Linked DNA regions of Canis lupus familiaris. The protein of the gene in region 1 interacts with the protein of each later gene in a pairwise test. Links are inferred from orthologs where the notes say so. Each region holds a gene or a part of one and is shown on either strand. Other genes may lie near its edges. The genes, in order: ZC2HC1A and CASTOR1.

What was found.
Region 2: the proteins of ZC2HC1A (region 1) and CASTOR1 interact in binary tests that used the Homo sapiens proteins (3 or more experiments, as listed by UniProt). The two-hybrid records come from large-scale screens. The link is inferred for Canis lupus familiaris from reciprocal best matches to the Homo sapiens genes ZC2HC1A and CASTOR1.

Annotation. Positions count from the first base shown.
Region 1 is NC_049250.1:26,926,870-26,930,599, reverse strand, and holds the end of ZC2HC1A (zinc finger C2HC domain-containing protein 1A), read right to left. Parts: intron 3,218-3,730; coding exon 3,052-3,217; 3' UTR 648-3,051; downstream 1-647.
Region 2 is NC_049247.1:23,849,784-23,854,280, reverse strand, and holds the start of CASTOR1 (cytosolic arginine sensor for mTORC1 subunit 1), read left to right. Parts: upstream 1-1,492; 5' UTR 1,493-1,614; coding exon 1,615-1,727; intron 1,728-2,352; coding exon 2,353-2,423; intron 2,424-3,567; coding exon 3,568-3,755; intron 3,756-3,834; coding exon 3,835-3,967; intron 3,968-4,226; coding exon 4,227-4,350; intron 4,351-4,497. UniProt on the Homo sapiens protein: Functions as an intracellular arginine sensor within the amino acid-sensing branch of the TORC1 signaling pathway. As a homodimer or a heterodimer with CASTOR2, binds and inhibits the GATOR subcomplex GATOR2 and thereby mTORC1.

The DNA.
Region 1 (3,730 bases):
TCTCTCTATGTCTATAATAAATAAATGAGTAAATCTTAAAAAAAAAAAAAGAAAGAAAGATAACTACTTATCAACCCCCTTTAAAAAAAATAAAAAATAAAAATAAATAAAAATATATCCATCATAGAAAATACATATACCTGCAATGCAAAAAAAGACTCAAGACTTCTGCTGACTCTCTGTTGCTGTGTACCTCTTCTATTATTTTTAATTCCCTGAGTACAAATCAAACATGTCTAATTTGATATTTCTACTAGCGACAACTGTTTAAAATTTTAAATATGATAGTTTAAATCACTAAGTATTGATCATAAACCAATAGTTTTTGCCATTAAACTACATATTATTAGAAATATCCACAATGTTTCATGTTTTCAACTGCTATATTTTACTGGCCAAAGAAAATTTTTCTTAGAAATCTTGAAATGAAATATATTTGTAATATTTAGATGTCATAAAACACTTCAATAAAATAATTGCAATTTCTTTAAAATATGATGGCACAAAAAAAATTGCCAATGAAAAGCACTATCTCATTTTTAAAAATCTGTATTTTGGCTTTGAACATTTTTTTCTTATTTCAGTGTGCTCTTATCTTTCTACCTATGTCTGGCTAAAAGCTAAGACATCAATAAAGACCACCTGAATTTTTTTTGCTTCATGTCTTTATTGAATAGGTTCAAAAATGAAGACAGTATTTGTAATAAAAAAAAAAAAGAGTGAACAAGAGACAACAGCAACCATAATAATCTTACTTCTCAAGCTAGTGACTTTCAGAATAATATATAAGCAATTTTTACATTTTTAATTTAAGCTTAACAATCATTTCTTTATTCTACCACACTGGCAAATACTTGTAAAAATAAATAAAAATAAATGATGCATAGATCTAGGAAAATTTCTTATAAACTGAACTATTGCACAACAAATCAATGTGAGAATAATATATGTAGGTAACAAAAACGCATTTAAAAACACTGTCACAACATATTTCATAATTTCTAAGTGTACTTCACCTATTTACTGTTTATAATAATCTCTGGGTTCTAGAATTGGATGATTTTTTACCAACTCATTTTCCATGTAGTACATTATAACATTTACTGGCTACTGCAAAATTCTGTGAAAAACAAACATGTGCCATTTTGTTTAAGTTCATTTATCTATCCCTTCTTTGGGCTAAATTACCTGGTCTTAAAAAAAAAAAAAAAAAAAAAAACTTGGAAAAAGAAAAATAGTGCTCAGTTCCAGGGAAAACAAAGTTTAAAGTTCTTCATATGATTTGTTAACAGAACAAAATAACATATATTATTGAAATGAAAATCTAATATGTACACTATTCTCCTAAATTAATTACAGCTTATTGTAGTTAATGGACTTTTTAGGTCAATATGACTGAATAAAGACAACCAGATTTAAAATTAATGAAAAGTCAGGAAAAAAACTATAAGGTAAATAAAACAACAATTCCCATTACTTCAAAGTTCATATCCCCTGCTGAATGGAAAACAACAACAACAACAAAAAACACTAAAAACAAAACCAAAAAACAAACAAAAAACCTAAGGAATACAATTATAAAGTATAAGCATAAATAAATTTCAGAGAAAATTAAAAGCCACAAATTTCTGCATTAACCCTTATATTTGCTCACAGTCATAAAAGAGAAGCTAGAAATGACCTATAAAAGATTTGCTTGTATCTTTATAAGATCAAAGCTCTTTTCTTTCTACTCCACAGAAACCACTAAGGAGTTACTGAACATGGCTGCACAGACAATCAAAGTATCTACTACTAAATACTGTCACATTGATAGTGATAATGATTAAAAGCTGTAGGTTAGCCAAAGTCAAAGTACAATTAAATTTTTGTGAATGTTTAGTTACATAAGTCAGCTGTGCATTAAAGCAGTGCATTTTCAGTGTTTTTTTTTACTGTGATGTGAAGGTGTTTTAGTATTAAACACTAAAAATAAAATATAAGAAAGAAAAATTAGTCTCTTAAACAGCTCATCACTACATCTAACTATACTTCAGGGAAATTAAAATTAAAAAATTAAAATACTTCTTACCTGCATGCCTTGTAGTAATGATTAATTATCCAAATTATTTATTAGGGTGAGGTGGTTTGTTTTAAAATCCATCAAAATAATTTCTTCTAATTTTAGACACAGAAATAAACATGTAGAATTTTTTAAGGAATTTCATGCCTCTTAAATATTATGCCTCTTATTTTCAAACTTTGCAAAAAGTAAATTAAAATGCCTCAGACATAAGTTTATAAAAAAGGAAAAAGTGAAATATGGAGACACAATTAGAATATACATTCAACTAACACACTGAGGTAAAAAAATCAGTTATAACTGGAATAAGATATATTTATATTTTTTAATCTTGTGTCTCTGAAAAGGAAATTACATAATTACATTTTAAAGAATGAGTAAAGATCTCTAAATTATAAAATTAATGATATATCAATTAAAAAACAACATAGTATAGGGGTTTTATTCTCTTTTCAATTATTTATAAAATTAATTGTTGAAGAGCTCTTCAGGAAAATGACCTCACATAACTAATTGTAACTGAATGTACTGTTTCCAAAATTCCAAGCATCCCACCCTATAATACTATATGAAAATAAGCACCGATAATATGTTTGTTCTGATTTTTTGCTCAAATTTTTTGATCATCCTAAAGCTTGAAGGGCTGAGCACTAGCATTTGATTTTGTGAAGGTATGCTTAATGTGCTTTAACAACAACAGAAAAGTAATACCTAAGTTAATGATTCCACTTGAAATTATTTTCTGACAGATGAGTGAATATTTCCTTGAGTGGCACAGTTTGGGCTATCAGGTATTAATTATATACAGTATATGTACACATATATATATATACACATACACATTACACAGCCAAAGAATTATGCTCCAAAAATTGCCGAAAAAAGTATTTTGAATAATTTTAGCATAAAATCATTAAAGGAAGTGCTCTAGCTGTGCAAGCAGCAACAGTCATAAAATTCCAGACTTAGCTTTTTCTTTTGGACTCTGTTCACAGAATCATTCTTCGAATGCCACATTCACAGCAATACTTTGCCCATTCTACAGGGTATTTAGTCCCACACTCATGGCAGAATTTTGGTAAGTGTCCTGTTGAATTTCCTTCCGTGCCTTTAATGTTTCCGCCATTAAGTGAAGATATATAGTCTCCATCTGGCCTGAAGGAGTACAGGAAGAAAAGTGGAAACACAAAGTTCTTGTCAATAGTTTTCATACCCTTAGAAAACAGGACATAATATTAAGTATACATAAAAGCTTGCTTAATCTCAATTTTAAGATTTTTCTAGTTCAGATTAAAAAAATCCCTTTTAGTTAATAATTAAATTCTAAATGTTTTCTTTGGCATTGTATTTGTCCCGATTATGAGAATTTTTCACGAGTAAATGCCACCACACTTTCCATCTGCTCAATGTACTAGGCATATACCACAACGGGCATAGAATGGAAATTTATAACAATGTTCCTTCTGCAAAACCATCTCTAAAGAGAAAACTGGAACCTCACCCTCAGGAAAGATGGAGGTCTTTCCTCCAAATATACACTGCAATAATTATGTACATATATTAAAATATATACTATAAAACTATATATACATAATTTTTCTTAATGTGTCCTATTTTCACTGTATCCATGGAGTCATTTCACTCTAAGTCACATCACTATCCTCAGGT
Region 2 (4,497 bases), on another chromosome or scaffold:
ACAATAGCGGCTGTTCCTGGCAGGCTACCAAGCTGGGCTGGGCCATGGTGGGAGGGAGTGGGAGAGGGAGGAGTAGAGCCTCCCTAGGAGTTTTCAGGCATCACAGGGCCTGGGCCTGGAACACCCTGTCATGATACATCTGGGGATACTGAGGCCTAGGGAGGTCAAGTGTCATGTGAGTCTATCAGGGCAGGCTACCCACTTCCTGCCTTCTACCCCTCACCTCTGTGGTTTCCCACCCCATTTATACCTGCCACGAGAGGCTTTGAGGACACTCCCCTCCCCCTGGCTCTCCAGGGGACAGGCCAGGATGTGGCAGCTGCAGTGTTCCTTGAGCCAGAGAGGCCAGGGAGGGAGGGTGCTGCCCAGCTTCCACCCGCCTACAGTAGAGGTTTCTGAGCAGGCAGGAGGCTTGTGTAGGCCTGCTGGGTCCCAGTCAGGCCTGAGGCCGGCTTTAACCTGTTTGGTTCAAAGCCTCAGATCTGAAGCCTGAGGATGCTCAGGCCAGACAAGGGCCCCCCAGAGCATGCTCTGTCCTGCTACAGGACCAGCCTAGGTGTGCTGATTATCTGCTTAAAACTGAGCAGAACCCAATTCTAATGTTGAAATGAGCCCAAGTTGGTCTTATAAGCCTCAGATCTGGGGCATTTGCCAATGCCCAGGGCCTCCATGGGCATGAAGCAAGCTTACATGTGCTCAGGCCAACTGGGTTCTGCTAATAGGCTGCAGGCTTTGGGAGGCTTCAACAGGGCTCAAGTCTCAGGTCTGAGATCTGAGTACCCAGTGAGCCCCAGACACATGGGCCTGTCCCCAGAAGTCAGCCTTGAGCATCCCTGGCCTAAGCACTTAGTCTTGAAGGGTCTCAAGCCATAAGCCTGACCACCTTCATTCCCCTACCCCACAGTATGTTGCTCAGATATAAGTGGCTGGCCCTCCCCAAATCTGTACCCTAGTGTGTAAGCGCCTTCTTCCTCCATAAGGAGAAGGGGGGGAGAAAGGCGGCAGGACCCTTGGTCGGGAGAGAATCTGAGCATCACGGGGGCTGCACAGCCTACCCCTCCATGCTCCAGGGTTTTCTGGGCAGCACTCTGGTTCCAGCTGAGCCCCGGTTCGCCTCGCAGCCCTTTGGAGCTTCAAGGTTATCAATTATTAGACCTATATATGGGGGCCTGAAGGACAGAAACAATTCCAAGACCTCCCTCCTGCTTCGGACCCTAGCGAGGAAGGCGACCCGCGGAAAAGGCGGAGCCCGGGGAGGGGGCGCGGCATGGGCGGGGCCTGAAGGACCCCCCGGGGTGGGATCAGCCCGTGATTCCCCCGAGCAAGGCTGAGGGGGCGGAGTCACCAGGGGCGGGCTCGGCGGGCAGGAACGTGAGGATTGAGGCTCTGGCCTTGGGAAGGAGGCGTGGCCACTCTGGATAGGCCGTCCGTCCGTCGGGGCGTGGCCGTCAGGGAACTGGACGCGGCATGGGGTTGGGAGGGTCTGCAGCGTAGCGGGCGGCGTGGACGCGGCCACACAGCGGCTCCTTTAAGCCCCCGGCACCGCCCCCCCGCCCCGCCCCCGGCGGCGGCCTGGGTCTGGTTGGCGGCGGGGTCGGGTCCGCGCGGACCGTGATGGAGCTGCACATCCTAGAGCACCGGGTGCGGGTGCTGAGCCTCGCCCGCCCAGGTCTCTGGCTCTACACTCACCCGCTCATCAAGCTGCTCTTCCTGCCCCGCCGCAGCCGGTGCGCGCCCGGGTTCGGGGGCACAGGTGGGGGTGGGCTCCGCTGTTGCTCTGGGACGGGGCCGGGGATTCACGTCGCCGCGGGGCGAGCGGGAGCGGTCGGGGAGGGCCCTTCTCCCTAAGCCCCCCCGCCCCCCCGAGGCCGCCATCCGGCTTGGGCCTACCCTCCCCGGGACCGCCGCCTATCCGGCCCTGTGAGGCGCCGTCCCAGAGCCAGTTACGGCGCAAACAACCTGGGTGAGCAATGCCTAACTCCAAGTGGTGTCAAATGGGGGCAATTCCTTCCTGGCGACTGCGGGGAGCTTCTTCCAGACGCCCTCCCGTCGGGTCAGAGGGGCTGGTCTAGGGCGCCCAAAGTCCGATGCTCCCGGGGGCTACGGGGGCGTAGCCGCGGGCGAGCCTCTTCTCCTTCCGGGAACCGAGGGTCGGGAGCTCCCGCAGAGGTCGGGAGGCGAAAAACAGTTCGTGATTCCGGTGTTGAAGCCCACGCCCCACTGGCCCGGGGAGAAAACTGAGGCTCGAGGGGGCAGGGAGGCGTCCTGCTGGGGTCTTTCCGGGCGCCTGGAGCGAAGTCCTGCACGCCCCTTCCGCCCAACCCAGGCTGAAGATGCTCCCCCCGCCTCCAGGTGCAAGTTCTTCAGCCTGACGGAGACCCCCGAGGATTACACGCTCATGGTGGACGAGGAGGGCTTCAAAGGTGGGGGCTGGGCCGGGGAAGGGTGGCGTGCTCCCCTATTTGCGATTCTCACTAGATCCTGGAATCCAAAGTCCCAAGAGCTGGAGCCTTGAAAGCAGATGGGTCTGGGTTCGAATTCGCCTCCACTGCACACTGGCTGTGTGCCCTTGAGCAAGTCATTTCCTCCCACTGAATTGTTTGTTTCCTCTTACGTAAAATGGGTATAGTTGTGGTTCTGATCATAGGGTCCCATGAAAACTTTATAGACAGGGCTGTGAAGGGCACTTGGCAGCCTCAGGCCAGTTGCAGGGCCAGTTTAGGGCAAGAATCAGAGGTTCCTATTGCAGTTATATTCCCCCTGGCCATTATTTCTCCCTGCACTTATCTCTCTGGTGCCGGTCACCCCCTCCCTGGCTGGTCTGGGAACTCCAGGAGTCTGAGGGTTGGAAAAGGAGTGCAGGAGCAGGCAGCCAGCCCATGTCCAGGACCTGGGGGGCCTCCTGGCTGCTGCTGTGGCCTGGACACCAGCCTGTTTTCTCCCTGGTTCCTGAAGCTGACATCTGGCTCCTACTCCTGCCAGCCTGACCCCTCTTCACAGGCCTGGAGTCGCAGACCACGAAACTGAGGCTCGGCCCATACTTCACTGCAGCCTTTTAGACTTTAGTTTCCCCGTTTGTACTGCAGTAAAGTCTGGGTCGGCTAAGGGAGAAAGGCTTCCTTCAGCCAACCTGGTTTGTTGGCGCCCCCTGCTGGTGCCACATGGTATAAAACCTCTGTTAGTCTAAGAAAAGCTATCATGAGGTGTATACTCTCAATCCCATTTTACTGATGAGGAAACTGAGATCCGGGAGGTTAAATCATTGACCTCGGGTCAACAGCAAGTAAATGGTGAAGCCGGGATTTGAACCCAGGTCTGTCTGACTCTGGAGCTCCAGTCTTAACTGGGAAGTTTCCATCCCTAGCAGGCCAGCACCTGAAGCACTTCTCAGTTCTTGCATACATGCAGCTCAGGAGCAGAACTTGGGAGAGGGAGACAGCCCCAGTCTCCAGACCTGCCATTACCTTCGTAGAACCCCCCCACCCCCAATTCCTGGACAGACAGGGAAGCCAAGGGGCAGGGGCCAGCCCAGTAGGCCCTGACCTGGTATATACTTCCTGCTCACAGAGCTACCCCCATCTGAGTTCCTTCAAGTGGCTGAGGCCACATGGCTGGTGCTGAACGTGTCATCTCACAGTGGTGCAACCGTGCAGGCTGCCGGAGTCACCAAAATTGCCCGCTCGGTCATTGCACCACTGGCAGAGCACCATGTGTCTGTCCTGATGCTGTCCACTTACCAAACGGACTTCATCCTGGTGAGTTTTCTGCAGGCTCCGGGGCAGGGTGGGCATGGGTGCCTGGGGACTCGTGTTACATCCTCCTCTTGTGGTCCAGGTGCGGGAACAGGACCTGTCCGTGGTGATCCACACGCTATCCCAGGAGTTCGACATTTACCGGGAAGTGGGCGGGGAGCCTGTGCCTGTTGCCAGGGATGATTCCAGCAATGGCTTTCCCCGTTCGCAGCATGGTGAGGCTACCCTCACACCCAGACCTAGGCAGGGCCTCCTCTTTCCACGGGGGCCCTTCCCTTATGAGAGCTGGTCTGTGGACGTGGGGATACCGGCTGACACAGACTGCCTCACAAGATAGGGAGATGTGGTGGAGAAGAGGGTTCCTGTAGAGCAGGACCCTAGCCTCCACCCAGGCCCCTCCCTATCTGGCCACCAGGGGGCGCCCCAGCCCACAGTCGCCCTAACAGTAGTTCTCTGCCTGGTCCCTCCTCCCAGGGCCCAGTCCCACGGTGCATCCCATCCAGAGCCCACAGAACCGCTTCTGTGTCCTCACATTGGACCCTGAGACACTGCCAGCCATCGCTACCACGCTCATCGATGTCCTCTTCTACTCCTACAGGTGAGCTGTGTTCTCATGCCGTTGCTCCCTATGCCTACCACCTTCTGCTTGTTCTGTAACTCGTGCCCTGTTCTGTATCTTGGGTTCCTGGCAGCCTGTGATACCCATGTGCCCCTCACTGATGTTCAGGGAAGATCCCAATGCCAC